Pelodiscus sinensis: one gene and its partners. The protein of the gene in region 3 purifies or fractionates together with the protein of the main gene of each other region. This does not show direct contact. Links are inferred from orthologs where the notes say so. Each region holds a gene or a part of one and is shown on either strand. Other genes may lie near its edges.

Region 1 (10,721 bases), on a different chromosome or scaffold from region 3:
AAAATGGACCATTTAGTCCTATTTTTTCTTCCTGTCTTTTAGTCAATTACCAATTCATGAGAAGTCCTTCCATTTTACCAGAGGACAGCTTATTTTGCTTAACAGTCTTCAGTGAGAGACCCTGTGAAAGACTTTCTGAACATCCAAGTACTCTAAACAATTGGCAAGGCACAATTTCCCTTTGCAAAAACGGTGTTGACTTCCCCCAACAAGCCATGTTCATCTATATGGCTTATAATTCTATTTTTTACTATAGTTTTAACCAATTTGCCTATTCTGAGGTTAGGTTTACCACCCTATAATTGCCAGGATCACCTCTGAAGCTTTTTTAAAAAACTTGCATCACATTAGAGATCCTCCAGGCCACTGGTACAGAAGCTGATTTAAGAGATAGCTTACATATACCCGTTAGCACTTTTGGCAGTTCTAGAAATAAAAGTCTCTTCCCTTCCAGTCTATAAAAGAAAATGCTTAGTTTATCTTTTTTCTTGTCTGATTTTTTTTCTTGTGGGTCTTGCAAGTCTGAGAGAGAAGAACACTTTTCTTTTATGGCAGCGTTTCTCAAAGTGGTCCACAGAGCTACTCTGAGAAAGCTGCTAACAGGCCGCTCTGGTTTGTTTATTTACCAGCTCTGCAGCCACAGAGCCTCGCAGCTCCAACTGGCTGTGGTTTACCATTTGCAGCCAAGGGGAGCCATGGGAAGCAGCAGCCTGGCTCTCACCACTTCCTGCAGCTCCCCTTCGCTGCAAATGGTGAACTGGAGCCAACGGGAGCAGTGAGGCTCGTGGCTGTGGAGCTGGTAAACAAACAAACCGGAGTAGATCCACGGACCATTTTGAGAAACACTGTCTTAGGGAAAAGCAGTCCATTAGTCATTTATTTCTCAATGCAGTGAAGCCCTTGGTCATTCTTAACATCAAGAATGAGTTAAACAGTCTATGGCCTGTTCCTGGGAAAGTTCTCTCCCCCACACGGACATGCCTCTCCCAATGGACTGAAGGTTTCATTGTTCCAATGAAACACAACCAGGCTGTGGTCATGAAGGGACAGGTAGCTAGGGCCAGTACCATGGAGGGATTGAAATATCTTGAATTGACCCTCTTTATTCAATAGGAAGCCAATGCAGAATCAGGAGCACCAACATAGCGGTCTATGCTACTAAGTAGACAGTTGGAATTTTTTTCAGGGCACAAGTCTCCATAACGCCTACTTACAATGAGTCGTAATTATCAACTCTAGAGGTCACAAATGAGTGGATTACCATGACTTGATATATAACAAACAAGCCATGGCACATTCCTCTAGTCAATTACATATGGCGAGGGCTTTTTTTTTTTTTTTTTTTTTTAAACTCCCAAGGATATTTTGACACCCCCTATCTTTTTCACCTCTTCCATAAACTTGACAAAAATACAGGAACTGGCAAAAGAATTCAATGACCTGGACTACAGATGTATGTGACTAGTCGACTACCCAATAAATGCTTCTCAAGCAGTGGAGTAGGAATTTGACTAGTTGCTTCTCCCCCTCCATTGCTGCCTCTATCAGAGAGGGGCAGTAAGGAGGGGGGGAGCAAGAGCCAGCACTGGGGGAGCCAGGTTAAAAGCCATTTCCCACCCCTGCACCCTCTCCACAGGGGGCAGCGGGGAAACAGTGCAAGTGACGATTTAAACTGTCCCATTAGCGCTGGTCCTTTCCCTTTGGACTGTACAAGAGCTGCCTGTGACTCTTGTATATTTCAAAGGAAGAGGCACAGAGGGGAACCCACACCAGCTGGGATTTCTTTGCTCTCTGCTACCTCTCTCTCTTTGAAATGTACAAGAGTCATGGGCGGCTCTTGGACATTTCAAAGGGAGAGGCGCAGTAGGATAGCAAGTGCCCCCCTTATCGACTAATCGAGTAGTCGATGGAAATTCCATTGTCTCCTCAATTATCTGATTAACTTGAAATGTAACATTCCTAATCTGGACATAAGAGATTTAAAAATATGTACCAATTATACAAGATTAAAAAAAAAGAAGCTAATCAACAATTTAGAATTTCTACCGACTTTTGAAATGCAAAGGAAAGCCAAGATTTGTATCTGGTGTTTCAATATTTCCATACTGGGCATACATTCTAAAAGCTTAGCTGTATTTTATGTTCTTTATGAGCACAGATTTAATTCTGTGCCAGTGAAAGCATTAATTCACAACAAATAAACTTCCAACAAATGTTGCCAGTCACTTGAAATGTATTCTTAGAAGCAAAACAGTTTAGAGCGTCTAAAATTAGTATTAAACTAAAGCTGGCATCACTCTCTGCTTTAGTTTCTTGATGCTATTTTTCCAATCAAACAACTTAGAAATATAAACAATGATAAAGGAGGAATATAATTGTCGTCTCACTCGGTGTATTACCCCAAATCTAAAAAAGCCAGTCACATTTGAAAACTCGTCTGGCTACTGATAGCCAAAGCTATTTTCTGTGCCACAGGCCAATTTATAACCCAAGACAATGTAAAGGCTCTTTGCATCCTCTCTATTAACAAGGATGTAATAGAGCAGGCAGATGTAACAGGGTAAAATGTCACTATGTATATTTCCATACCCAGGCTAAAAAGGGGCTTAAGAAAAAAAGACTACGGAGAGCAGATGTGCACCCCAAATACTCTACGCAGAACCAAAACCTCACCTCGCACCAATACTTCGTTGATCATCTCTTACCACCACTCAGGCCAGAAATCTTGTTTAGAATCTCTACAGTTCTCTGATGGTCCTAAACATACCTTCAGATCCCCAACTGCCACATCTGCAGGTCCCTCCCTGATCCCCAGCACAAGGTTTCTCGTCCACATGCTCTTGCGCCCAAATCCAAGCATTTAAGCCCACCTCCTAAAAAACTCTATGCTCATCAACTAGCATCCGCCAGTGCAGCCAAAAGATACCCCAAGCCCTGCCCACACTGTACAAAGATCTCACTGTGACTTTACAAAGGCTCAGGTGCCTTCCCCCACCCCCATCCCAGCACTCACCCTTGCTCCAAGGTCCCTGCCTCTCACACTCCAGAACTTGCCTTCTTCCTGACTCTGCACCCTGGCTGATTTCCCCACCTAATGCTATCCTAAGTGCCCCCTGCTCTCGCACTCCCCAACCCGTTTCTCTCCTATCAGAGTCCTTTGAGAGTCTCAATACCCTGCGACACCCATCCCCATGACCAACTTCCCCAGGCCCTCCCGCACCATCGCTCTGGCACTCGCATCGCTCAGAACCCCCCATGCCTTGTTCTCCAGCCCTGAATCTCCCACCCGCTGGTAACCCCCCACCCTAGCACTCACCTATCCCGCAGATGCCTGCTCCCCCAAGCACCCCCTCCCCCTGCCAGCAGCCCCCCCATCTGTGACTCGACAGGTACCGCTCCCCCAGCTCTCCCCATAGGGCCGTGCTCCCCCACCACTTGACCCTCTCTCGGCATTCCCATAGAGCAGCACCCTCTCCCCCCCGGCGTCCTGCTCCCCCATCTCTCCCCCCCCCCGGCACTCCCGTAGAGCAGCGCCCTCCCCCCCCCCCTGGTGTCCTGCTCCCCATCTCCCCCCCCCGGCACTCCCGTAGAGCAGCGCCCTCCCCCCCCCCGGTGTCCTGCTCCCCCATCTCCCCCCCCCCGGCACTCCCGTAGAGCAGCGCCCTTCCCCCCCCGGTGTCCTGCTCCCCCATCTCTCCCCCCCCCCGGCACTCCCGTAGAGCAGCGCCCTCCCCCCCCCCGGTGTCCTGCTCCCCATCTCCCCCCCCCCCCGGCACTCCCGTAGAGCAGCGCCCTCCCCCCCCCGGCGTCCTGCTCCCCCATCTCTCCCCCCCCGGCACTCCCGTAGAGCAGCGCCCTCCCCCCCCCGGCGTCCTGCTCCCCCATCTCTCCCCCCCCGGCACTCCCGTAGAGCAGCGCCCTCCCCCCCCCGGCGTCCTGCTCCCCCATCTCCCCCCCCCCCGGCACTCCCGTAGAGCAGCGCCCTCCCCCCCCCGGTGTCCTGCTCCCCCATCTCCCCCCCCCCCGGCACTCCCGTAGAGCAGCCCCCCCCCGCACAGCGCGCCCCTCCCCCTCGCCGCCCCCCCGCGCTCCGGCCCCGCAGGCGGCTCACCATGAACTTCAGGGCCTTGTCCTGCAGCACGGCCTCGGCCGGCTCCATAGTCCCGCCCCGCCGGGGCCAGGGCCGGGGCCGCCCAGTCCCTCAGTGGCAGGCCGCAGCCAGCGCAGGCAGGAACCGCCGCTTCCCCCCGGCAGGGCGCGCGCGCCGCCCGCAGGCCCACGGGAAATGTAGTCCCCGGCCGCGGCCCCGGCAAGCGCCCGGGCGGCCCGGAAGCACTACACCTCCCGGCATGCCGCGCGGCCGCGGGCCCTGTCGGCCGCAGAGCAGCTGTGCGCATGGCAGGCTGCTGGCGGGGGGCGCGCGGGGGCCGATGGGAGTTGTAGTCTGCGCGGGGCGGTAGGCGGGGAAGGAGCAGGAGCACTGCCAGGACTCCCATGCGCCCAGCTGATCGGCCACTGGCCGGCCGGCTCCTGGAGTCGCGTGATTAGAATCGCAGCCCCTCCGCAGGGCATCAAGTCAGGTGCACGCGGGGCAGCCTGGCCCCAGCCAGGGCAGGGGGGGGGGCAGTAGTTTTTGATGGGAGGGGGCACTCCAAGAATTTGGAAAGTCGGTCGAGGGCTGCATCTTCCATGCTCTGACCGGAGGGGTGCAGGGCGTGGGATGGAGGGCGGGCGCAGGAGGGGGCTATGACCTGGGACAGGAGAGGTGCAAGAGGTGGTGCAGGAGAGGATTCTGACCAGGAGGAAGGATGGAGGCAGCGGTGCAGGATCTGGGAGGCGGTTGTGATCTAGAGCGGGAGTGCAAGGATTTGGGTTGTAACTGGGGGTGGGGATGAGGGTGCAAGGTCTGGAAGGGGATTGTGACCTGGAGGAGGGGTGCAGGAGGGGATATGGGTGCAGGATCAGTGGTGCAGAGGATTTGGGTTATGTGGGACAGGAGTGCAGGAAGGACGGGGGGTAGAGGACTGGGGGAAAGAAGAGGCTGGGTGCCAGAGGCAGGCTTCGGCTGGGAGACACTTACCTGAACAATTCCTGGCCAACAGCCCTGCCCAGCAGGTTTCTCAGCCAGGCTCCCTGCCTTCCATGCCCCCACAAGCTGCTCAAAGCAGAAGCTGCTCTAAACATTGTGAGCCCGGGAGAGGGGTACTTTGCGTGCTGCCGGTCCTGAGAACAGGCAGCTCCCATTGGCCAGAAACCAGCCTATGGGAGCTGTGAGATTGTGCTGGGGCAGGGGCAGGATGAGAAGCCTCTCCCCAGGTTCACAGCAGTCACATAAGCATAGAGCTAGCTTACTTCTTTGAGCAGCGTGCAGGAGTGGGGCAGGTAGGGATCCAGTGGCCGCTCATGAGCTGTATTTTAACTGCCCCTGATCTAGAGCACAGGGCAACCCTTGCCTTTTTTTTTTTTAAGGACGTTTCTCTGATGGGTGCAGAGGAAGCTTACGAGTGGGACAGCTGTAGCTTGGCAGCTCTTGCACCAGCCCAACGTTTGTTGTGTGATTTCACCAGGTCCAACCCCCAACGTTTTGATGCTCCCGAGTTAGCAATTCCCCCTTGTCCTCGCTGCCTGCACTGCGCTAACACCTAGAACTGCCAGTGGGGGTGGTGCCTGTTACGCTAGGCGCTGTACAGACACGGAACAAAGAGCTGGTCCCTGCCCCAAACAGCTTGCAATCTACAGCCAGCAGGTAGTTCCGCCAGACCAGCGAGGAGTGGAAGGAAGTGCCGAAAGGTTGGAGTGCTGGACGGCCGTCTCGCGACACCGTAGGTGCGAGAGGTGGTAAAGGAGACAACCGCTTGTTTGAAAATGTTACCTGGTGGGTGACAAAGGCTCCAGGCATTGGCAAAGCAGAGGCAGGAGGAGTGGGGGGGGGGGGGTGGTTACAGATGGGGTGGACATAGACCACAAAGGGCCTTGCAAAGGAAAGCAAGTAACTCCTGCTGCGGGGAGGAAGTGTCTGCAAGTGACCCCGTGTGGCACTGGTGGAGACACAGCGACCCTGTTCCATGGCTGGACGGGTAGAGTTCATGGGAGCACCATTTGCTTTAGGGTGGGGAGGGATGCATGCTCCATCCTTTGTAGCTCCTTCCTGGCCTTGCTGCAGGGTCTTCCCTGGGCCTGGGGAGGCTACTGGAGCAGGCCTAGGTTCCTAAAGTGCCACATTATCAGCTCCATCCCTATTTCCCACTGGCTGGGCAGGAAGCTGCATCCTGCCATGGCAGCCCCAGAGCAGACCACAGAGGGAGCTAGGTCCTGATCTCTGCCCCAGGATAGGACCAGGCTGTCTCCTCCCTGCATCCCCTCAGAGATGGGACCAGACCACTAACCCATCACAGCCAGTTCCATGCCCGACTTTTTCCAAAAAAGATGCCCCTGCATGAGAGGGATGGTTAAGGCCCTACAGGTGTGTTGTGGTGCCAAACCACAGAGGATTTCATGGCAGCACAGGGCACCCCACAGCCATTGAGAACGTCACTGCATCAGCCTGGCTAGAACCAGATCCTTATCATCTCAGCTAAATGGGAATCTCCCCCGGTTGCTGAACGGTATAGGACCTATGACACACATGGGAGCAGCTGTCAACATAGCGAATGCAGGCACATCGCTATGATGGGAAGTGACGCACATACTGCTGCACCACGGTCATGCGCTGATGAAACCCTTGTGAGAATTTCACACACTTGTGTTTGCACCAGTACAAGCCACGTGGCTCGTGTCTACACAGGGCCACGCTGCAGCCGTGTAAGTGTGGCGAGGTGTAAGGAGATCTGGAGTCCTGATGCAGGCTCACTGACTGGAGGGGGATTATCATGGCAGATTGTGGGAGACAGGCTGACTTGTGAGGGAATTTGGGGAGCAGACATCACCCACTCCTCATCCCATATCATAAGTGTTTATGAGATGGTTCGATTGCAGAGTGGGGATGGAGTTGCTTGTGTGTTAAAGCTATATTGGCAAAAAAGATCTCTTGGCACTGGAAAAGGTTCAGCAAAGGGCGATAAAAATGATGAGGGGTTTGGAACAGGTCCCATATGAAGAGAGATTAAAAAGACTGGGACTTTTCATCTTAGAGAAGAAGAGACTTAGGGGGGATATGCTAGAGGTCTATAGAATCGTGAGTGGTGTGGAAAAAGTGAAAGGAAAAATTATTTACTTATTCCCACAATGTAAGAACTAGGGGTCACCCAATGAAATGAATGGGCAGCAGGTTTAAAACAAACCAAAGGACGTTTTTCTTCACTCAGCGCACACTCAACCTGTGGAACTCCTCGCCAGAGGATGTGGTGAAGACCAGGACTTTAACCAGGTTCAAAAAAGAGCTATATAGATTCATGGAAGTTAGGTCATCAAGGCTGTTAGCCAGGCTGGGTAGGAATGGTGTCCCTAAGCTTCTGTTTCTTCGGAGGTGGGGGACGGGGAGGGATCAGGTAAGGATTACTGTTGTGTTCCCTCCCTCTGGGGTATCTGGTATTGGCCGCTGTTGACAGACAGGACACTGGGCTAGATGGACCGTTGGTCTGACCCAGTCTGGCCATTCTTATGAACATTGCCCCCAAAGAGCTTTACTCAGGGAGAGAGAAAAAAGCAGAGGCAATTGTTAACGTCTTGTGTGCTTCATTTGCAATGGGCTTGCCGCATTAGAGCCCAGCACTGCTAGGCATGGTAGCTCAGAACCCCCAGCCAGCAGCTACAGCTCTCCAGCTACCCACCTTAGAAGGCAGCACCATCACTGGCACCAATGCAGAAGGGTAGCAATACGCTGCCCCATGCCATCTGTTCTATGCTGCTACTGGCGACGGCGCTGCCTTCACAGCTTGGGAATTCAGCTGCCATTTACAGCGTTGTATCTATGGGAAAATGCATTCCAAGTTCCAAACAAATGGCTTACAGACGAACTTTTGGAACACACCCCGTTCGTAAATTGGGAACTCCCGGTATATAAATCGCTGGCTGGCTCACACCTGGAATATTGCGTGCAGTTCCAGTTGCCCTCTCTGAAAAACGATATATTCATATGGGGAAATGTACAGAGAAGGGGGAGAAAAAAAGATCAGGGAATGGAACAGCTTCCATAGCAGGAGAGATTAAAAAGACTCAAGACTTTTCCGCTTTAGAAAGAAAACAGTGAAGGCAAAGTTATGAGAGAGGTCTATAAAATCAGGAATGGTGCGGAGAAAGTGAATAGGGAAGTGTTATTGACTTCACAGAACACAAGAACCTGGGGTCGCCCAATGAATTAATAGGCAGCACTTTCAAACCAAAAAAAAAAAAAAAAAAAGGAAGTATTTCTTCACACAATATGCAGTCAACTTGTGGAACTCCTTGCTGGGGGATATTGTGAAGGCCAAAAGTATAAGTGGGTTCAAAAGACGACTAGATAAATGCATGGAGGATGGGTCCATCGATGGCTACTAGCCAAGACCATCAGGGAGTCAACCCCATGCTCTGGATGTCTTAAGCCCTTAACTGCCAGAAGCTGGGAAAGGGGATGGTAATTGCCCTGTTCTGTTCATTCCCTCTGAGGCCCCACCCTGCCCCTTCTGATTAAGGCCCCACCCCTTCTGGGAGCACGAAACCTCCCCACACACACACTTTGCCCAGGGCCCAAGCAAATTCTGTCGACCCCGCAACAGCATGATAGACCGTGGTCTCGGTACCTGATTTAAGCACCCTGAGTTATGCAGAGGAAATGGATTCACCCCTCCTTTCCCATCCTGTCTCCTGACCCAATAAGATCACACCCTGCAAATCTGAAACAAATGCCTTTTTACAGCGCGATTTGGATCAAAGGTCCTGCGGGCTTTTCCCACCCCAGCAGGGGTGTCCCGGCCAAACCTCTCCGGACAGCGGTTATCGAGGGGATCCCATTTTCTGTCCGGAGTGGCTGAGCTCTGCACGGGTGGCTGCATTTTGTGCCGAGCCTCGTGCCAGGTGCCGAGTTTGGGTAGATGAAAGATGCGGCCTCCCCATACAGTTACCACAGGGATCATTTCTGTGCCGTCTTATTGCTTCGTGCCTGGCAGCCCACGTCCGCGGTACGGCTCCGGATTAATGCGGCGGCAATCATTAACTGGATAAAGAACAGCTGGTGCTTTGCTTGAAGTGAAGATGTTGGGGTCAGTAAATACAGGGCTGGTGAAACCATCTACCGCCGGTCTTTCGCTGCCTCTCGCTGCATTCCAGAGGGGCTTCCTGTCTTGTCCCTGCGCCCCTCCGAGGAAACGGCAGGAGCCAGCCCATGAAAACGGGAGCTTTCATCAGAGCCGTTCCTTTGGGCATTCGTGCCGGAATTTTCATATTTTGAATAATAAAGGAGGGTTTGAAATTAAATTTGTGGGCTTGCCATCTGTGTGCGCTTGGACTTATTTTCCTCGTCTTTGGCAGGCTCCGGCCTTCATGCTTCCCCTGCCGAAATGAAAAGAAAGAAAGGGAACGGAGGGGGAAGGGGGAAATCGGCAGGAGACGGCCTCCTCGTTCCCTTTGGCGTGTGACTGTCTGTGGGCAAGGACTGATTGCTGCACGCAGGACACCCCCGAGCCCAAAGTGTGAGCGAGAGGCATGAATAGAGCACATGGAGGAGTGGGGAGCCCAGGACTAGGTTTGGACAACCGGGCCTGGGGAGCCCCCAAGGAGGAGCAGAGAGGTAGAGCTAGGAGGGACCTCGGGCCCAGGAAGGGCAGTGCGAGCGACTCCTCCCCACTCTTCCAGCTCAGAGTCTGAAGGCTCCTTCTGCGGCGACAGCTGGGCACTTTGCTCTGTCCCTGCTGCCCGGAGTGCCTGGCATCCCTGCTGGCTGGGTCCTAGCCCTGCAGTAGCACCCCCCTGTGCCTCCAGCTGCCGGGGCCTTGCCAGGAATAAAGAGCTTTTAGCAGAAGCGTCCTGACAGTGCAGGGTTCCCAGAACTGGGCCGCCGGCAGCCCGCGCGCACCCTCTTGGCTCCTGGGGCCTGGGCCACGTCCGGCCTCCTCTGCCCAGCTCTGGGCCTAGCACAGTTCTCGGTGCTTGGCGGCTCTGGGCCTGGCGGGAGAGCTGGGAATCGCGTGGGGGAATTCACCTCCGCCGGGCGTTTCCTGCCAAGTCAGGTGAGCCAGCCTCCTCCCCTCCTCGGAGCGTCCGGCCGGCTTCCATCGGCAGCAGGGGTTCCACTGGCCCGAGTAGGAGCTGGTGTTCTCTGGGCAAACTCCTCCTCTCCCTGCCCACTGGGCTGGGCTCAGAGCGGCACGGTGGAAAATGTCCTGAACACCACACATGTCTGCAGGAGACGGATGGTGGGTAAACTGAAAGGGGGTGGGGGAGCCAGGAGGTGCTTTAGTGGTAACGGGAGAAGTCCTGATTCCCCAGGGGTCTTGCCCAGCTGTGGTACCCCTGTCCCAGAGGTGCCTTGGGACTGCGGGCTTGGCCCAGTGATCTGAGCTGGAAGAGACATCCGTTTCCTCCAAAAGGTTGGCGGTGCTTCCATTAGGGCTGGGCAGCTCCCAAGGGGAGCCCTGCAGATGTGCAGATAGCCACCGTCCATCTGCGCGTACCCACATCCGCAGGGCTGGGGGCGGACCCTCACGACTTACGTTTGCCGATCTGGAGGCGGAGTCAGCTGTTGCGTCTGGATCCCTGCCAATGTGCAGCCATCCACTGCCTAGCTGCAGGCATCCGCGGACGTTGCT
Region 2 (10,733 bases), on a different chromosome or scaffold from region 3:
GGGTTGATCGTCTGTATGAGGATGGGGGCGGGAATCCTCACCTGGAGCAGAGAAAGGGGGCAAGACCCTAGGAGAGTTTGCCCGGTGGGGCAAACCAGGAAAGGGTGGACATTCTGGACCTAGGGGAAGGGGTACCTACATAGGGATTACTCTGACCAAGGGAGCAGGTCGGGAGTTGGGAATGAACCAGAAGAGGAGCAAGGAAGGCCTAAGGCCCAGAGAAGGCAAGAAGCCTGTTTCTGGTGCCAGGAGGAGGATCACAAAGAGGGTCAGGGAGGGTAGCCAAACAAAGAGGTGCCTGAGGACCCAACTAGATCAAAGTCTGGCAGGCAGGACGAATGCCACAGTGATGGCAGTGGACTTGCCAGGGAGCCACCTGCAGGTGGCAGACAAAAGGCACATGGCAGAAATGGGAACAAATGCTGTGGTAGAGCAGGCTGCAAGAGGTGCCCAGGCTACAAAGAAAAGGGGCCCTGGGAGACCAACCCTCCCAGATGTGGTACAGGCCAGGAAACCCCCCTACAGCAAGGGAGGTGAGCTTGAGGGGGCAAGTTTAGAACAGGCCTGGGACATGGCTGCTCTAGGAGCCAACTGAGAGAAGGCTTAAGGCAGCTAATCAGGTCCCAGCTAGGCCCTATAAAATGGGCTGCAAGGCAGAAGTAGCTCAGTATGTCTCCAACTCTGGACAAGGGAACTCACTACCTATATTTAGAGAGTGACCAGAGTCACAGCAGTGCTGGGGAAGGTCAGGGGAGCTCTGGCCTGACCCACTCCCAGGAGCCAAAAGGATACTAGGGCTGCAGGAAGGGGGGGGGGGGGGAAGTGAGCAACAGGTTTACCATCTTTATCAATGATGAGTGGCCAATTCAGACTGCAGCTTGCCCTGAAGGGAAGAGCTAAACGAATGACTGCAGTGGGTCACTGAGGCAAGTGGTGGGACTGGGGGGCAGCAGGAACCCCAGAGTTCAGTACCCAAGGGCACCGCAGTCTGGGCAGGACATGGGTCATGGCGTGGTGGAGAGACAGCTAGTAATGGCAAGCAAGGCACCACCAGAGCAAGGTGCCAGCAGTGGAAAGAGCTAATTTCCATAGGACCAGCAGGGGAGGCTGAAGCAGTTAGTTAAACCAGTTACCCCCACATATACAATGAAAAGCTAAGGTAAGCACAAACACAAAAATGCATTTTAACTATGATTTTCAACTGTTGCTCTATTTTACAGCGTCATTCCACCAAACTGCTTTGGACTCTACAAAAATCTGATGAACTGAAAATCTCATCAGCCATACAACTGCATAATGCATAACATTTCACCTCTTGAACTAGCCAATTTCTGCTTCCTTTTCCTAAATGGACATTGATAAAGACACAAAACGTATATGGAAAATCTCACCAAGAGGCAAATCCAACAAATTAATATCCTAATCATCATGAGAACTGGCTGCTTCACACTACAGATGCCTAGACTACAGAAGCAGGCAAGACTGCCAGCCCACCCCACTAGGACCATCAGGCAGGAAGCCTGCCCAAAGCTGCTGCTGGCTGGGAGATCCCTAGGTAAGTGTCTCCCAGCCAGAGCCTACATCCGACACCCCACTCTCCCACACCCCAATGCCCTGCCCCATGTCACAACCTCCTCCTTCACCCAAACTCCTTCTCAGACCCCACACCCTCTCTTCACCTATACTGTAACCCCGAGCTCCCTTCTGCACCCAACCTCAGTCCCAAGCCCCACACCTCTTCCACACACAAGTGCGACCCTTGACCACTTCCAAAACCTTGGAATGCCCCCACCATCAAAAACTGTTTCCCTCCCTTGTCATAACAGAATTTGAAAAATTACCAGGCACTAAGAAGAAATACCATGGGAATGCTATGCAGATGCATACATCTTCCTAAAAAACAGCCACCTCCCCCCACAGAAACATGCTAGAATGCCTATCACAATGCTGTTTAGACCCTGCACGGGGGCTCAAAATTGGGCCTTGTCTTCTTGTAAGTTTTCCCAGCATCGCCAGTCACCACAGATATGCCATCAAAAACCCTTACGTTGATGTGGTTATACCAGGAAAAAGTGTTTTTGCCAACATAAGCTGCATCTAAACTACAATTTGCTAATATACCAGGAAACCTAGCATTGACAAGTAAGTCGTATGGCACAGCCATGGTCTAGCAGAGAGCCAATATGTTTTAAACCCCTCTCCAGCTACAGGCAGTCCCCGGGTTACATGGATCCGACTTACATCGGATCCCTACTTACAAACGGGGTGAGGCAACCCTGCACTAGCTCTTTCCCCCCAGCAGACCAGGGAGACTCGAAGCTAGCGCCCCCCCCCCCCCCCCAGCAGACCAGGGAGACCCGGAGCGGCTTTTCTCAGCAGACACCTCAGCTTGAGAATAAAGGACTGAGGGAAGTGAGGTGTGGGAGAATAAAACTGAGCTCTGGAGAAATGTTTGGCTAGAGTTTCCCCTACAATTTGTACCAGTTCCAACTTACATACAAATTCAACTTAAGAACAAACCTACAGTCCTTATCTTGTACGTTAACCCGGGGACTGACTGTACTGGGAAAAAATATGTGAATTCTGAATTACTGTATCACAGTAGCTCTCAACCATTCCAGACTACTGAATCCCTTTCAGGCATCTGCTGTGTCTTGCATACCCTGAAGTTTCACCTCACTTAAAAGTGACTTGCTTTACAAATAATGAGGCACAAGAATACAGTGTCCTAGCATGTCATTACTCAAAAACTGTTCTCATTTTTACATGTTATGAGTTAGCTGGAATATAACCATTACACTTACCTCTCTGGTGTACAGTAGCTAAAGCAAGCCAGTCACTGTGTGACTTTTAGTTTGTACAGACTTTGCTAGTACCCTTACAACTGGTTACATAAAAACTAGGCAAATATTTAGATCAGTTGAGGCGCCCATGGAAGACCCCTATGTACACCCCTCTCCCACAAGGGTACATGGGCCTCTAGTTGAGAGCCACTGCTCTAACACTTCCCCAGACTCATGGCTATTCCAAAGGACAGCATTTATTTGTATTTCTTCTTAGGGGCTCCATTTTGTGCCCCCCCCCCCCCAATATATATATTTCTTCAGTGTTGGCACATTACTAATGGTAGCCACTCCAGAGAAAAGCTGACCTAATTCTTGTCAGTTTTACTGCCTCCAGGGGTGCTCTGAACAGTAATGGTAAGAAAGATCCTGATCATTTTTTATCTTGTCACTTGGGAAAGACAGGACCAGCAACTGATGCAGGGGAATGGACTGATGACAGCTCAGGAGGCCAGTATCCCATAGGTTTACACCACAGTCCCATTCAGTTTGTTTTATTGGCAAGCATAACAGTTAGGAATCTAATTTAGTTTTAAATAAGTAGCAAGGGTGTGGCATGACAAGCAGATTGTGTCAGACCCTGACAATTGCATATATTACCCTACTGTTCATTCAGAAAGAACCACCTCAATGCTCAGGGATATTGAACTCCCTACAAATATGTAAATCAGCACAGCCCATGAACTTTAAAGAAACCCCCCCGACTCTTCAAAAAGCCTGATATTCCCATTCACGATCATTTGAAGCCTAAGGCTAATAAGATGCACGTACCTGAGTCTGGCCTGTGCCGGGAGAGCTAAGAGACCGAAGGGTCCGTACCCTAAAGAGCCACAGTGCCAGCCTAGGGCAGGCAGAACACGGAGGCGCGCCCAGGAGGCCAGGCCTGGGAAGGAGGCGCAGAAGGGCCCCCCTAGGGGCCAGGCCCCCCTTTCACACGCAGCGGGGTGGCTGGAGATTGACTGCGGCGACGTGACCCGGCCCCCCCAGGCCGGACCCTCCCTCTGGGCCCGCTGCTGGGCAGGGCTCCGTGGGGAGGGGCCACCCCGCCCGCGCTGGCGGGCACGAGAAAGGGCGCGGGGGGGGGGGTCGGGCGCCCGCGAGGGGGCGGCTCCCCTGCCCCACCCCCGGGATCGCCCTTCCCAGCCACCATTTTACTCCGGCTCCCCGCCGCCGCCGCGCCTTGACCCCCCCGGGCGAGGCCCCCTCGGCCCTGCGCCCCCCTGCCGGCTGCCTCGCCCCCGCGGGGCCACCCCAGGCGCCATTTTGTTCGTACCCCCCCCGGCCGCCTCTGCCCCCCTGCCCAGCCGCCGCCATTTTGTGACCGCTCCCTCCCTTCTCCCCCGGCCCTCCCCGGCGCCCGCCCGGCCGGCGCTCACCATCGTAGCGCTCAGCCTGCTCGGCCAGCTTGGCCTGGTACACGAGGTCCTCCCGATCGTCCATGTCCGAGAGACGCGGCGGCGGGGGCGGCGCGGGCTGGATGGAGGCGGATGAGTCCGGGATGCTCCGCCGCGACCAGCTCTCTGTGCTACGGGCAAAGATGGCGGCGGGAGCGCCTCCTCCTGCTATATCCGGGCACTTCCGCCAGCGCGCGCATGCGCCTCGGCCGCCCCGCCATGGCAACAGCGGCTCCCTGGCAACCGGCGCGAGGAGAGGCTCAGGGGTGGGGCCCTGGCTGCTGCCCGGCCGCGCCTGGCTGGGGGGCGATGGGCGGCTCGTGGGGCGCCTGGGAAATGGGGGCGGATGGCCCCTCGGGGCCCTGTAATGTGGGCGGGGGCCCGGCCCAGAGACTGGAGGGGGCGGGGGGCCCGGCCCAGAGACTGGAGGGGGCGGGGGCCTGGCCCAGAGACTGGAGGGGGCGGGGGGCCCGGCCCAGAGACTGGAGGGGGCGGGGGCCCGGCCCAGAGACTGGAGGGGGCGGGGGCCCGGCCCAGAGACTGGAGGGGGCGGGGGGCCCGGCCCAGAGACTGGAGGGGGCGGGGAGCCCGGCCCAGAGAGACTGGAGGGGGCGGGGGGCCCGGCCCAGAGACTGGAGGGGGCGGGGGCCCGGCCCAGAGACTGGAGGGGGCGGGGGGCCCGGCTCAGAGACGGGAGGGGGCGGGGGCCCGGCCCAGAGACTGGAGGGGGCGGGGGCCCGGCCCAGAGACTGGAGGGGGCGGGGGGCCCGGCTCAGAGACGGGAGGGGGCGGGGGGCCCGGCCCAGAGACTGGAGGGGGCGGGGGGCCCGGCTCAGAGACTGGAGGGGGCGGGGGCCCGGCCCAGAGACTGGAGGGGGCGGGGGGCCCGGCCCAGAGACTGGAGGGGGCGGGGGCCCGGCCCAGAGACTGGAGGGGGCGGGGAGCCCGGCCCAGAGAGACTGGAGGGGGCGGGGAGCCCGGCCCAGAGAGACTGGAGGGGGCGGGGGGCCCGGCCCAGAGACTGGAGGGGGCGGGGGCCCGGCCCAGAGACTGGAGGGGGCGGGGGGCCCGGCTCAGAGACTGGAGGGGGCGGGGGCCCGGCCCAGAGACTGGAGGGGGCGGGGGGCCCGGCTCAGAGACTGGAGGGGGCGGGGGCCCGGCCCAGAGACTGGAGGGGGCGGGGGGCCCGGCCCAGAGACTGGAGGGGGCGGGGGCCCGGCCCAGAGACTGGAGGGGGCGGGGGGGCCCGGCCCACAGAGACTGGAGGGGGCGGGGAGCCCGGCCCAGAGAGACTGGAGGGGGCGGGGGCCCGGCCCACAGAGACTGGAGGGGGCGGGGAGCCCGGCCCACAGAGACTGGAGGGGGCGGGGGGCCCGGCCCAGAGACTGGAGGGGGCGGGGGGCCCGGCCCAGAGACTGGAGGGGGCGGGGGGCCCGGCCCAGGGACTGGAGGGGCGGTGGGCCCGGCTCAGAGACTGGAGGGGGCGGGGGCCCGGCCCAGAGACTGGAGAGGGCGGGGGGCCCGGCCCAGGGACTGGAGGGGGCGGGGGGCCCGGCTCAGAGACTGGAGGGGGCGGGGGGCCCGGCCCAGGGACTGGAGGGGGCGGGGGCCCGGCCCAGAGACTGGAGGGGGCGGGGGGCCCGGCCCAGGGACTGGAGGGGGCGGGGGGCCCGGCCCAGGGACTGGAGGGGGCGGGGGGCCCTGCCCAGAGACTGGAGGGGGCGGGGGGCCCGGCCCAGGGACTGGAGGGGGCGGGGGGCCCGGCCCAGAGACTGGAGGGGGCGGGGGGCCCGGCCCAGAGACTGGAGGGGGCGGGGGCCCGGCCCAGAGACTGGAGGGGGCGGGGGGCCCGGCCCAGAGACTGGAGGGGGCGGGGGGCCCGGCCCAGAGAGACTGGAGGGGCGGGGGGCCCGGCCCAGAGAGACTGGAGGGGGCGGGGGGCCCGGCCCAGAGACTGGAGGGGGCGGGGGGCCCGGCCCAGAGAGACTGGAGGGGCGGGGGGCCCGGCCCAGAGAGACTGGAGGGGGCGGGGGCCCGGCCCAGAGAGACTGGAGGGGGCGGGGGGCCCGGCCCAGAGAGACTGGAGGGGGCGGGGGGCCCGGCCCAGAGAGACTGGAGGGGGCGGGGGGCCCGGCCCAGAGACTGGAGGGGGCGGGGGGCCCGGCCCAGAGACTGGAGGGGGCGGGGGGCCCGGCCCAGAGACTGGAGGGGCGGGGGGCCCGGCCCAGAGAGACTGGAGGGGGCGGGGGCCCGGCCCAGAGACTGGAGGGGGCGGGGGGCCCGGCCCAGAGACTGGAGGGGGCGGGGGGCCCGGCCCAGAGACTGGAGGGGGCGGGGGGCTCGGCCCAGAGAGACTGGAGAGGGCGGGGGGCCCGGCTCAGAGACTGGAGGGGGCGGGGGGCTCGGCCCAGAGAGACTGGAGAGGGCGGGGGGCCCGGCTCAGAGACTGGAGGGGGCGGGGGGCTCGGCCCAGAGAGACTGGAGAGGGCGGGGGGCCCGGCTCAGAGACTGGAGGGGGCGGGGGGCTCGGCCCAGAGAGACTGGAGGGGGCGGGGGGCCCGGCTCAGAGACTGGAGGGGGCGGGGGGCTCGGCCCAGAGAGACTGGAGAGGGCGGGGGGCCCGGCCCAGAGAGACTGGAGAGGGCGGGGGGCCCGGCCCAGAGAGACTGGAGGGGGCGGGGGGCCCGGCCCAGAGACTGGAGGGGGCGGGGGCCCGGCCCAGAGACTGGAGGGGGCGGGGGGCCCGGCCCAGAGACTGGAGGGGGCGGGGGGCTCGGCCCAGAGAGACTGGAGGGGGCGGGGGGCCCGGCCCAGAGAGACTGGAGGGGGCGGGGGGCCCGGCCCAGAGAGACTGGAGAGGGCGGGGGGCCCGGCCCAGAGAGACTGGAGGGGGCGGGGGGCCCGGCTCAGAGACTGGAGGGGGCGGGGGGCCCGGCTCAGAGACTGGAGGGGGCGGGGGGCCCGGCCCAGAGACTGGAGGGGGCGGGGGGCCCCGGCCCAGAGACTGGAGGGGGCGGGGGGCCCCGGCCCAGAGAGACTGGAGGGGGCGGGGGGCCCAGCCCAGGGACTGGAGGGGGCGGGGGGCCCAGCCCAGAGACTGGAGGTGGTGGGGGGCCCGGCCCAGAGAGACTGGAGGGGGCGGGGGGCCCGGCCCAGGGACTGGAGGTGGTGGGGGGCCCAGCCCAGAGAGACTGGAGGGGGTAGGGTCCCCGGCACACAGAGCCTGGAGGGGGTAGGGGCCATTGGCATCAGGCTGTGGTTTTACATGACACTGTAGCTACACTAAACTCTGACTGTTGGTTTATGCCCACACACCCAGGCTTTTGTCCTGACTGCCAGTTTATTGCCCCATAGCATTTTGTGGTAGCCCTGGACTGAGCTCTATGCGCTGGGAATGGCTGTGCTACTCACTGACAATTACCAAGACAAGGAGGGCGAGAACATCTCTTTTATTGGACCCACTTCTGTTAGTGGCTGTGTCTATACGGGCACTTTTGTCAGAGTGACATCAGTTCCCCAGACAGCAGCCCTCGCGTGGACAGAGCTATGTCATCCAGAGGTGATCTTCAGCAGACACAGCTCCTGGGGCTCATTGGAGAAGGTGCCGTGTGGCTGGAAGAGTGCCCTGTCCCGGTATAGCTGTGTAGCTGTAAGCTCACTAAGGTAGACCTGGCCCCCAACCAGAGAGATGAGTTTTCAAGCTTCCCAGAGGTATCACCAGGCATTTCAGCACCTGGGGAAAGCAAGACAGTTTGTGCCTTCTTCCAGTTTTTGGGGTTTTTTTCATAATTTTTCTGCCCCCCATGACTTTGTGCCCAGTTTGCCCCACCATGGTTATTGCTCTGCAACTTGCAGAACTCTTCTGTTCCGGAGGGATTGTGGGAAATGACAGCATCATGTCATAGCTAAATACAAGGGGGCACAGGATGTTTTCCATAAGTATTGAACCCAAATTGTAAGGAACTGTTCAAGGTGGACCCTAGTGATACTCTGAGGTGTGATCCTCAGCAGGTCAGAAGTAACTACAGTGCTCTTGGGCTGTGTCTAGACTGGCCAGTTTTTCTGGAAAATCAGCCATTTTTCCGGAAAAACTTGCCAGCTGTCTACACTGGCTGCTTGAATTTCCGCAAAAGCACTGACGATCTCATGTAAGATTGTCGGTGCTCCTTGCGGAAATATTATACTGCTCCCATTCGGGCAAAAGTCCTTTTGTGCAAAACTTTTGCGCAAAAGGGCCAGTGTAGACAGCTCAGATTTGTTTTTTGCAAAAAAGCCACGATCGTGAAAATGGCGATCGGGACTTTTTTGCGGAAAAGCGCATCTAGATTGGCACGGACGCTTTTCCACAAAAAGTGCTTTTGCAGAAAAGCATCCATGCCAATCTAGACGCTCTGTTCCGAAAATGCTTTTAACAGAAAACTTTTCCGTTAAAAGCATTTCTGGAAAATCATGCCAGTCTAGACGTAGCCTTGGAGTACGGGTGAAGGAATTTGGAATAGATGGTGTTCTCTTTGAACCTTCCAGTCAAGGGTAGGGTCCCAGAGAGAAATGCATACAGGAGGTGAATGCCTGGCTGTGAAGATGGTGCTGCCAGCAGGACTTTGGCTTCCTAGACCATGGCTACATCTACACTGCAGGCTTTTTGCACAAGACGGCAGAGCGTCTACACTGCATGCGCATTCTTGCACAAGTAAATTCACAGTACAGCATCGGGAAAGAAGACTTGCACAAGTTATTCCTCTCCCCATGAGGAATAAGCCTTTTTGCACAAGAGCTCTTGCGCAAGAAGGCAGTGTGAACACAGGGGTGGCCTGTGAGCCTAGGCAGACGAGGCGGTCGCTTAGGGTACTGCCAGCCTGGGGCACCCAATGATGATGTCACGGGGTGCCTGATGAGACGGCCATGCAGACGGGGGCTCATTGCGCCTTCCGCCTGGGGTGCCAGCTGCCGCAGCCTGCCTCAGGCCACTCCTGTGTGGACAGACAACATGGATTTCTCATGCAAGAAACCCCTATGGCTAGATTGGCCATCAGAGCTTTCTTGTGCAAGAGAGCGTCCACACTGCCATGGATGCTCTTGCGCAAAAGCACATCTCTTCCACAAAGCACATGGCAGTGTGGACACACTCTTGCACAAGGCCTTTTGCATAAGAACTCTTGCACAAAACAGTTCTTGTGCAAGAAGCCTGCAGTGTAGACTTAGCCCATGGGTTGCTAAGCAGAGATGGCATCCACCCATGGAGGAAGAGCATCTTTGTCACAGAGCGAGGGGAAAGCGGACCGTTTACTGCATCCCTCGCTCTGGCTGGGGAGCACAGGAGCAAATGAACCTGGACCTGCCCCAGCCAGGGGACACGCACCCCTCCCGTGGCTGTGTCCACTCGAGCTGCAGCAGCCATGGGGATATGCTTCTCCCCTCACGCCAAGCTGCTGCAGTGAGAGAGGGCTGGGGCTGTCCTCTCTCCCCGGGCAGCCTGCACCCTCCTCCCCAGCCCCACCCCAGAGCAATGATTCAAATGAAGCACGGACATTCTGGTTTTATTTAAAAAACAACAACAATTAATTGAGTTAAGGACCCAGGCAACACCAACATATTCCCGGGTGCCCGGGCAACACAGTCCCCTAGATACGGGTGCTGTTTAGGGTGCAGAGGTGTGCTCTAGCCCCCCTAAATTTTGTACCCTAGCCCCAGACCAAGTTCTTAACTGCAACACAGTTTGCATGTGATAGGTGATGAGCTGGGAGCAGCACTGCCTTTGGGGCAGGGAGTTTATAAACAGAAACAGGGAACTGAATGTAAAGCCAGCAAACAGGAGCAGCTATGGGGAGATTTGACGGGGAGTTTGAAGGGAGATAGATGCTCTGAACATTCTTTACACTTTTCAACTATACCCTGTCACAAACGGAATTAGCTCTAGGGGTAAGGAGAGAATGCAGGCAACAGAGTGGGGGCTATCCCGTTTATTGCACCCAAGGTAGCCTGTATGACTCCCTGCCCTGAAGACAGGTGGTGTGTGTGTGTGCATTGGGTGCAAGAGGACCACAAACAGGCTTTGGAGACCAGAGCAGTTGAATTGGAGCAGCTAAGGGAGGCAGAGAGGTACACTCACGAGAGCTTCTGGGGCACCTTACAACAGTCCCACCCCCTCGGACAGTTTCTGTGTTGTTGAGGAGTGAAAGTCTCAGTGAAGGAGAACATCCAACTGGAGCAGAGGGAAATGATCTCACAGTTGAGACCGTCTTTCCAGAAAACGTTGTGCTATCCTTTCCCACTGAGGATGCCATTCTGGGGGAGGGAGCTCCAGTTATTAGGAAAAGACAGGTGTTAGTAATGCAGTGAGAGGGTAGGTGGCTACACGGGATCCAGTGCTCGTGGGGAGCTGGCTTTTAGGCCTGCCCCCTTCCCCATACTGCTGCCTCTGTGGCAAGCAGTGAGGGAGGGGTGGTGGCAGGCAATTCTGTAGAACCAGCTCCCACTTCCCCCTCCGATGCAGAGG
Region 3 (10,075 bases):
TGTGCAGGTTGTGACTCCGAGGCAATAAAGGATTGAACCGAAGACATGAAGCAGCTAAACCTGAAGGCCGCCATTTTCCTGAATTTCTATCTAAATTATTTAACATGGTTAATTTGAATTCATGTGCATTAATACTAATTAATGTGGAAACAATGTGAAGAGATAATTGAATGTCTTACTGAAATAAATCAGTGTGAATATACAGGCAGTCCCCGGGTTACGTACAAGATAGGGACTGTAGGTTTGTTCTTAAGTTGAATTTGTATGTAAGTCGGAACTGGTACATATTGTAGGGGAAACTCTAGCCAAACATTTCTCCAGAGCTCAGTTTTATTCTCCCACACCTCACTTCTCTCAGTCCTTTATTCTCAAGCTGAGGTGTCTGCTGAGAAAAGCTGCTCCGCGTCTCCCTGGTCTGCTGAGGGGGGGGGGGGTGCTAGCTTCGTGTCTCCCTGGTCTGCTGGGGGGAAGCAGCTAGTGTGGGTTTGCCTCACCCCGTTTGTAAGTAGGGATCCGATGTAAGTCGGATCCATGTAACCCGGGGACTGCCTGTACTGCAACATTTAACCTTTGGGACCATTTAGGTCACATTTTAATGCCGGCCACACTGCATATATTCACTTAAGACCATGAAATAATCATACCTATATTTTCTCTTGCCCTTATTTTCTCTTCCCATACTGTTTACATCCAAAACAATGCAAAGTACTGTGGCATCTTGGAGACTAACACAAATATATATAGTATCATGAGCTTTCGTGGGAAAAACCCACTGCTTCAGATGAGCTTGAGTGGAGACAAAAAAAGGGGTGGGGGCTCTCAGAATTTATAACAGAAAAAGAAGGAGGGAGGAAGTACCTGTCAATTGTAGTGCTGATGCTAGTACGGCTACCCAGCACTACAATTGACAGGTACATTTTTTCTTCTCTCCTTTTTTTTCTGTTATAAATTCTGAGAGCCCCCAACCCTATTTTTTTCTCCACTCAAGCTCATCTGAAGAAGTGGGTTTTGCCCACAAAAGCTCATGATATTATATATTTTTTGTTAGTCTCCAAGGTGCCACAGGACCACTTGTTTTTAAAGTTACAGACTAACACATCTACCCATCTGAGACTTGTCTACATCCAAAAGTCCTTTCATAAATTTATCATGAAAAAATCATGACAAACCATTAATCATGACAACAAATTATATTACAAGGGAGTGAATTAACTATAGTAGTCTAAGGGTATGTCTACACTACGCAGCTTTTAGTGTAAAAGTAAGCATATGTGAATATTGTTTGTACTTATACCCTCCCAACAAGCAGCTTTTGCTTTGTCTTCAGGCCTGTGATAAAGCAGCATTCACATTTGTACTTTTTGGGACAAAACTTGTTCACAGGAAGGACAGGGTTAAGCACCTGTGAATGACAAAAGTTTGTCAATCAAGTGCAGTTGTAGACATAGCCTAAATACATTTCTCCTTTTCAGCACTAACAGTGAAGATAATTTGTAAATCAAGGAGATAAAACAAGAAGAAACTACAGGGTACAGAAACTATACAAATGGCAAATTATCTCAGCCTTTAAGCAGACTCCAGCCTTTGTAAACTTGCGTGCTCAGGTCCTCCTGAATGAAATGCCTTAAAATGGAGTGATCTGTAGAATGGCTCTCTGAGATTTCTGTGGCCTCTACATGTATGTGATTTGTGAGAGTTTTATAAACTTCTCCATTGTACTCTCACCAACTTCTGAGTTTCAACAACCTACATAAGACTCATTGGCAACCATCTCATAGCTTTTACTTTCTCCACTTCAGCATTAACATGTGAGAAATTTGGCAACCAGACAACTAACCCACCCCTTTCATCATCAAGCCAAGGCAACCACGTTATAGCCTCCATAAATTCCTCCCACACATCAGCTTCTATGTCAACCCAGAGGAACATAGCAATGACTATAAATTCATTTTCTATAACCAGTGACCTCACTCCTTTATCCCCACCCACTATCTCAATGCCAAGAGTTTCCTTTGCTTCCCATCAATGTTCCAGATAAGGAAGTCGGTAAAAGCCCTTATCTGCCCCCCACACCTGTCCCAAGTCCTCTTACATTCACCTTCCCCCCCCACACACACACAGAGCTAAATCTAGGTCCTTTCACACCCATTCCCACGCAGATGATCTAAGATGCCTTTTACACACACACACACACACACACACACACACACACACACACACACAGCCTGTGCCTGGCCCCTTTAACTAGCCACACACACAAGCGGTGCAAGACTCTTTACAGCCCCACCAAACGCTCCTTTCCGCCGCCTTTAGCCCCCCTCACTGTGCCTGAGTCTGCAGGACACGCGTGGACGGGGGTCTGGCACGGGCCTCGGCCCCACTTACTTGAGGAAGTATCTCTGGCCCGTGTGGGTGAGGGCCATCTCCCAGCCGGGCGGCAGCGGCAGCTCATCGGTCACGTCGTAGGACTGCTGGCGGAGGTGAGCGTGCTGCTGAGCCGGGCTGGGGGTGGCCCCGGCCCCGGCGCCTAGCAGGGAGGCTGGCGAGGAGTGCGAGCGGACATGCTGGGCATTCGCGGCGCTCAGCCGGGGCGGGTGGCTACCCGAGTCAGTGCTGGACTGGCGGGAGTGCGAGCCCGAATCGGGCTCCTTGAAGAAGGACTCGGGCAGGATCTTCTTCCGCCAGGAGCTGGGCTTGGGGTTCATGACCGAGTTGAAGAGCGCCTCGAGCTCCGTGTCCAGGTCCTGGGTGACATGGATCACTTGCTGCCCCGGCGGCGGAGGCGGAGGGACCGGTGTAGGGTTCATCTTCTGCCCCGCAGCACTAGCTCAACAATGCAACCAACTCGCCAACGAATGAACAGCGATCGGGTCTCCCCTCAAAACGCGTCTGTGTCCCGACCAGGGGCAGGTAGTCAACAGCGAAGGAGGGGATCCAAGCAGCACCCCCACAGCTCTCCCCAGGGGATGGGCGGTCAAAGAATGAGGGGTGCAGGGAGTCCCCCCCAAGTGTCTCCCACAAGGGCCTGGGCGATCAGCCGCAGAGAAAGTCACTTCAAACCAGCCCCCCCATAAAACGTCACTTCACCCCCTCCCCCAAACGCCCGGACACTCCGCAACAAAACAAGCAGGGGGTCCGAGCCGGTCCCCTCGGGCACAAATCAGTATCTCGCACGATCGAGTGCATCCGCGTCGGCCCCCACGCAAAGTTACGCAACTTTCCCTGAAACTTTGGCTACTTGCTGCAGTTCCCTGGGAGGAGGGGGGGCTCCCTTAAAGGGCGACGGGAGAGTCCTGGCGGCTGTCAGCGGGAGAGAGCTGGCGGCTGTCCGGATTCCAGCGGGGAGCAAGGCACGCGAGGAGGGGGAGGGAGCGAGGGGCCCGGGACGCTCCGAGTCCGAACGTGGGGACCCGGGGAACGTTCTGTCGCTCGCTCTGCGCCTCCTCCCCCAGCTGCAGAGGCGGGCAGGTCAGGACGTTGCTTCTTCTGCGCTGGCAGCGCGTTGCAAAGGGGAGCGTGAAGGCCGCGGGTGATTCTGCCCTCACATCCTCGCAATCCAGGCTGCCTGCGCCTGCCGCTGCGCCTGCTTCCACTCCCGGGCCGTCCCAAACAAACTTTGCGAAAAAATCTCAACCCTGAGAAAGAGGCGGGGCGAAAAGTTGGGGAGCGGCATTATTCATGAGCAGGGTGCCCAGGCGCTCCGCCCCCTTCTCCCTTCCGAGCGCCAGCCTTTCCCAGGTCGCCCTGCTGTGAGTCTCAGCTATGCGGGAAGAGGCGCTTGGGGCTGAGACGGGGGAGGTCTGCGGGGCTCTGGTCACTCAGAGTCCCCGGCTGGGCTGGTTCAGATTGCAATACTTGCAGGCATAAGGGGCCTTATTAGGCGGAGCAAAGAAGCCGCCAGGTCAGCTGCAAAAGGAGACCCGTGGGTTGATCTCTCAAGAGAGCCGCAGGAGAGCACAGGCGCCCCCGCTCTGCTACACCAGCCCGATTGCCGCGTCGGGCCAAATATCCCAATAACAAAGCTGCCGTTTTTCCATTGTTACCATATTTGGTATCCTGAAGGGGAAACTCGATCTCCTCCCACCCCCGCTTCCCAGTTCTGCAAGACACACCCAGCCGGGGTGGAGCGAGCCCTGACCTGCGGGAGGACCCCGACCCTTGCAGGGGCGGGGGAAGGCCTTTGTTTCCTTATGGATTCCTGTATCCTTGGGAGGGGAAGAGCCCTGCCCTGCGGGAACCTCTGAGAGGGGGAAGGGCTGTTCCCATGGGATCCCCACAACTTGGGTGGAGAGACCCAAAAGTCCTGCAAGGAGAGACTTGGTTTACTCAGGACACACAGACCCAACCCTTTAGAGGAAATCTCTTAATTTCCCCTAAAGGAATGAGGTGGAACCAGCTCTCCATCTTGGTGGGTAAGGCTTCTCACAACAGGCCCCAACTTTCCCCTCTTTCCTTTAACCTCTGTAGATTTCTGGGGCAGATCCCTTCCTCAGATGCACCCCATCAAGGCTACAACCCACTTGTATTTTGGGGCCCTGCATTGTTAATTAATCCAACATAATTAATTCCTTATTCTAAGGGTGGTCCCAGCTGGAACATGAGCTGAGGTCACAGTTAAGGTCTCATCCATTCTTCAAGATGATTAAAGGATGCTTTTGCAGGAGCTGAAGAAAACTGGTTGCCCTGACTGTTGTAATTTAGTTGACCTATTTAGAAACATTGACAAATATGAGCCCATACTTTATTTATGTGATGGAAAAACTAGGATGTACCCTGAGCCCCCTGTATGAATGTCATATTATGAATAGGGGGCCTGAACCATTCTACCTAGCACAGTTTGTAGGTGACAGGTTAAAGTTTGTGTCTGCATTTATGTCATGCAACAGATACTTTATATTAAAAGAGATTCTGAAACTTCCTTTCCTTTGTCATTCTAGATTTCATTAACTCAAGGTCACAACTGAAAAGTTTGTGTAATGCTAGGAAACCGCTTTTTAAAAACATTTCTGAACTGTTTCCTTTAGCAGCATTTTGGGTCTAATGGGAACAGACTGTTACTTAAAAAAAAGATAGCTAAAAAAGTGGTGTAATTCAACACTCAGAGCAAAAGATTTCTTAGATGAAGCCATTTTTAATGTGAGTTTCCTAGTATAGTTTAATTAGAGCTGAGGTGCTCTGATGGCAGGCACCAGTATTGGAATCCAGGCAAATAAAAATAGAAGGCAGTGAAACCATTTATAAAGAGGTTGGCTTTTTGATGACAGGTTAGGTCTGAACTTTCTGTAAAATGTTATCATGACCCACATCAGTCTGATACATGCAAAGGTAGTCACATTTCAGCTATTACTCTGATAGTCTTCTAGATTTGTCCTTAGCTCTATTTAGCAGTCACATATCCTACAGTAAAAACTAGTTAGGTTTGCCATGAAAAACATTTTGCTCTATTTAATTTATATCCAATAGTCATAGTTGCTTTCAAAGCATTTTCCTCAGACTTCCTGGCTTTGTCTACACTGCTGGCTTCTGCTGGCAGAGAGTAAGCAAATGAAGTGCTGATTAGCATTTTGTCACACTTCATTTACATAATCTATTTGAGCTGGTTTTGCGCAAGAGGTTTTTGCACAAAAATAAGCAGTGTGAACGTTTCCTTTTTGCACAAAACCCCCTTTTTGCACAAGATCTTTATCCCTCACTGGGAGAGGCATAAGGGTTTTGTGCAAAAAGGGGGTTTTGCGTAAAAAGAAAATGTCCACAGTGCTTGTTTTTGCGCAAAAACAGCTCAAATAGATTATGCAAAAGAAGCATTACAGAATGCTAATCAGCGCTTCATTTGCATACTCTCTGCCCGCAAAAGCTGGCAGTGTAGACATAGCCCCTATAAATCAATAGGTCATTCATATAAAGTTGATCCTCCTAATCCTTACTCAAGCAATTAAAGATTTACAGATTTGGGCCCTAACATACATGTTTTGCAATGGATTTACACTTCGTCTTTCTTTCCAAAGAACTTTACAAATTGTATACATCCAGTACGTCTCAAGTGCTGAGATTCCATGATGATAAACTAATCAGTACACAAAATATCATGGTAGTTGTGCAAAGATGACATTTTGGCAAAGGACACAAATAAATATTAAAAATTATCATGGACTCTTTAATGTTCATACAGCACAGGCGGGATCTAAATTTTTAAATTCACTTCTGAGAAACCTGACCCTATAACTCTGTATTAACATTTAATCGATGAATATCTGAGTCAGTCTTGTTGGGATTTGAACCTTTGGTTCAAAAAGTATAGGTAAGTTATACTGCAAGCTGAGACCCTCCTACATCATGAGGTGATTCAGTTACAGGCAGTCCCCGACTTACGCGGATCCGACTTATGTCGGATCCGCACTTACGAACGGGGCTTTCTCGCCCCGGAGGTCGAGGTGGCGGATTGCTACCTGCGAGCTCCGGGGCGAGAAAGCCCCGTTCGTAAGCTGCTCCGGTGCCCCTGGTCTGCTGGAGACCGTCCCCAGCAGACCACAGGCACCGGGACTGAAGCTGCAGCCACAGCAGGGTCCCGCGCCTCTGAGACTTTGCCAGAGCAAAGCCTCAGAGGCGCGGCACCCCGCTGCCGCTGCGGCTCTGCTCCCCGTGTCCCTGGTCTGCTGGGGGGGGGGGGCGCAGCTAGTGTGCCCCCCCCCAGCAGACCAGGCTTTTGTTTTGGACCCTGGGGCAGAGCAGCTGGGGCGCTGCCGATTGGTCCTGCAGCACCGCTCTGGGCACTACTGGACCAACCCGGCAGCACCCCAGCTGCTCTGCCCCAGGTCCTGATTCAGCCGCTGCTGGTCAGTTTCAGCAGCGGCTGAATCAGGACGCCTGGGGCAGAGCAGATGGGGTGCTGCTGGGTTGGTCCAGTAGCACCGAGGAGCGGCGCTACTGGAGCAACCCAGCAGCACCCCAGCTGCTCTGCCCCAGGCGTCCCCAAGTCAGCCGCTGCTGAAACTGACCAGCGCTGACTACAGGAAGCCCGAGGCAGAGTTGCTCTGCCCCGGGGTTCCTGGAATCAGCTGCTGATCAGTTTCAGCAGCAGCTGACTTGGGGACGCCTGGGGTTCTTAAGTTGATTCTGTATGTAAGTCAGAACTGGCGGTCAGTTTCAGCAGCGGCTGAATCTGGACGCCAGTTCCGACTTACATACAGATTCAACTTAAGAACAAACCTACAGTCCCTATCTTGTACGTAACCCGGGGACTGCCTGTATATGGTTTCTGGAAGGGAATGGCAAACTTGCAACATTTCAGGTTTTTATGCACTCTAAAATCCCACATATTTTAAAAACAGATACATTATAATGTCAGGATGAGTATGAGAGTGGTTTAGAAGAGGCTTCAGCCTCTCACTTTAGGACATAACCAACCACTAATTTCTAAAGTTAGGAAGACACCTTCCCTATGGGTGGTTTATTCCATAAGTGTCCATTGTGGATTTTTCCAAGTTTCTCTCACATAGCTAATACTGGGTACCATCTGAGACGCTGACCTGATAGTAGATGGCAATTCCTATGGTTCTATTTTCATGATGGACCAATGAAAATGACAGAATATTCAGAAAGGGCCAAATTGTTAAAATGATTGTGAAAACTCTGGAGAAAAGATTATATAAATGATAGCAATCCAAACATCTCAACAAGTAAGTGTAGCAAACAACCCAACAAAATATATATTGTTAAAATAAAAAAAATGTTTGGGGACTAGTTTAACTGATGCCTGTGCTTTGAATTTGTATAATTAGAAGCTATCCTGATTGCCAATTTTATGTAAACCATATATGCAAAGATTCATGGAGTAATGTTAGCCTTGTGCAGATGTTTCCTGACTTCTGTGTCCATGATGGATTAGCCATCTGTCATTAACAAAGTGAACACTTTTTTGCACATTAATTTATAAATACACAAAATACATACATTCTATAAAAGTCTCAGAGGGTTTGCCGTGTTAGTCTGTAACTTTAAAAACAATGAGTAGTTCTGTGGCACCTTAGGGTACGTCTACATAGTAACATTATTTCAAAATAACTAGCATTATTTTCAAATAATTTAGTCTGCATCTACACTGCAGGTAGTTATTCTGAAATAATGTTGAAATACTGTCAAGCTGAAGGACTTCTTACTCCGACTCCTGTAACCTTCATTGTACAAGGAGTAAGGGAAGTTGTTGGAAGAGTGCTCTATTTTGAAATAAGTGCTGTGTAGATGCTCCAAATTTCAAAATAAGCTACGCAATTGACATAGCTCAATTTGCATAGCTTATTTTGAGTTAAGCCCTGCTGTGTAGATGCACCCTTAGAGTACATCTACATTGCAATGCCATTTCAGGATACTTTTGGTATCCTGAAATAGCTACCCCACATCTACACAAGCTGCCCGGTATTTTGAAATAACGGACATGCCATTTTGCTATCTTGGTAAACCTCATTGCACGAGGGATAACAGATGGCCCGAAATAGCACGTTATTTCAAAACTTGGCACTATGTAGATGCACCAAATTTCAAAATAGATTCAAAGTAACATACACAATATGCGCTGTGCAAATTGCATATCTTTTTTCAAGTTTAGGGTACTGTGTAGACGCACCCTTAGAGACTAACCAATTTTTTATATTATATATATAAAATCATGAGCTTTCATGGGCACAACCCACTTCTTCAGATGAGATGGTCTTGAATAGAGAAAAAAAAAGGAGGGACCCTCAGAATAAGAAGAGAGAGGCAGGGGGAAAAATTACCTGGCAATTGTAGTCCCAGTGCTAATGAGACTAAATGAGTGGGCTGGAAGTGTCCCATGCTTAGCTTTTGACATCAATAGGGTGTTGAATGTAAGGAAAGCTGGTTTTATAAGATGTTAACCAGTTCAAGTCTTTGTTCAGGACAAGGGAGACAGTGTCAAATTTGCACATGAAGGTCAATTCTACACTCTCTCTTGTTGGCTTGTGAAATTCCTTTGTAGAAGAATAGCTACTTTTAAGTCCATTAATCAGTGCCCATGCAGGTTAAAATGTTCCTCTACAGGTTTACGTTTGTGCCATTTAAAATACCTGATTTGTGTGCATTAATCCTTTGCAGTAGAGACTGTCCAGTTTGGCCAATATACATTGCAGAGGGGCATTGCTGGCACCTGATGGCATATATCACATTAGAGAATATGCAGTTGTACGGTGGCTTATGTGGTTAAGTCCTGTGATAGTGTTGCTAATACAGATATGTAGACAGAGTTGGCAACAGGTTTTATTGCAGGGGTGGATTCCTGGGAGAGCATGTCTGAGGTGTAATGTTTGGCCGCTGGAAAGACTTTGCTTCAGGTTAAGGGGTTGTCTGTAGGTGAGGATTGGCCTGTCTCTCAAGGCCCGTGAGAGTGAGGGATCGTTTTCCAGGATAGTATGTAGCTTGTCAATAATGAGCTGGGGGCTGTACGTGATGACTAGTGGTGTTCTATTATTTTCCACGTTGGGTCTGTCTTGAAGAAACCGATTCCTGGGTACTCGTCTGGCTCCATAAATCTATTTCTTCACTTCCCAGGTGGGTATTTAAGTTTTAAGAATGCTTGATAAAGATCTTATTAGTGTTGGTCTCTGTTTGTGGGATTGGAGTAAATCTAGTAGTATCTTAGGGCCTGGCTGTAAACAATGGAATGTGTCCTGGGGTACGTCTAGACTACATGCCTCTGACAACAGAGGCATGTAGATTAGACTACCCGGCATAGGAAAATGAAGTGGTGATTTAAATAATCGCCGCTTCATTTTCCTATGCCAGGTAGTCTAATCTACATGCCTCTGTCGCCAGAGGCATGTAGTCTAGACGTATCCCTGGATAGAAGCTAGAGGCATGTCGGTAAGAATAACGGTCAGTAGGTTTCCAGTGCAGGGTGGTAGTAATGTGGCCATCATTTAATTGTACTGCAGTGTCAAGGAAGTGGATCTTTTGTGTGGACTGGTCCAGGCTAAGGATGATGGTGGAAGTTGTTGAAATTCCTGGGAATTCTTCAAGGGACTCCTTCCCGTGGGTCCATATAATGCTGTTGTCAATGTAGTAA

Evidence for each region.
Region 1: the proteins of WWTR1 (region 3) and BTRC purify together in Homo sapiens (affinity purification with western blotting; 8 studies listed by BioGRID and IntAct, counting the BioPlex papers as one, with this or other methods). This does not show direct contact. The link is inferred for Pelodiscus sinensis from reciprocal best matches to the Homo sapiens genes WWTR1 and BTRC.
Region 2: the proteins of WWTR1 (region 3) and YWHAE purify together in Homo sapiens (co-immunoprecipitation; 5 studies listed by BioGRID and IntAct, with this or other methods). This does not show direct contact. The link is inferred for Pelodiscus sinensis from reciprocal best matches to the Homo sapiens genes WWTR1 and YWHAE.

The regions. Positions count from the first base shown.
Region 1 is NC_134718.1:73,918,620-73,929,340, reverse strand, and holds the start of BTRC (F-box/WD repeat-containing protein 1A), read right to left. Parts: upstream 4,290-10,721; 5' UTR 4,160-4,289; coding exon 4,112-4,159; intron 1-4,111. UniProt on the Homo sapiens protein: Substrate recognition component of a SCF (SKP1-CUL1-F-box protein) E3 ubiquitin-protein ligase complex which mediates the ubiquitination and subsequent proteasomal degradation of target proteins. Recognizes and binds to phosphorylated target proteins.
Region 2 is NC_134731.1:1,404,031-1,414,763, forward strand, and holds the start of YWHAE (14-3-3 protein epsilon), read right to left. Parts: upstream 4,409-10,733; 5' UTR 4,284-4,408; coding exon 4,220-4,283; intron 1-4,219. UniProt on the Homo sapiens protein: Adapter protein implicated in the regulation of a large spectrum of both general and specialized signaling pathways. Binds to a large number of partners, usually by recognition of a phosphoserine or phosphothreonine motif.
Region 3 is NC_134720.1:25,966,371-25,976,445, forward strand, and holds the start of WWTR1 (WW domain-containing transcription regulator protein 1), read right to left. Parts: upstream 3,987-10,075; 5' UTR 2,808-3,986; coding exon 2,386-2,807; intron 1-2,385. UniProt on the Homo sapiens protein: Transcriptional coactivator which acts as a downstream regulatory target in the Hippo signaling pathway that plays a pivotal role in organ size control and tumor suppression by restricting proliferation and promoting apoptosis.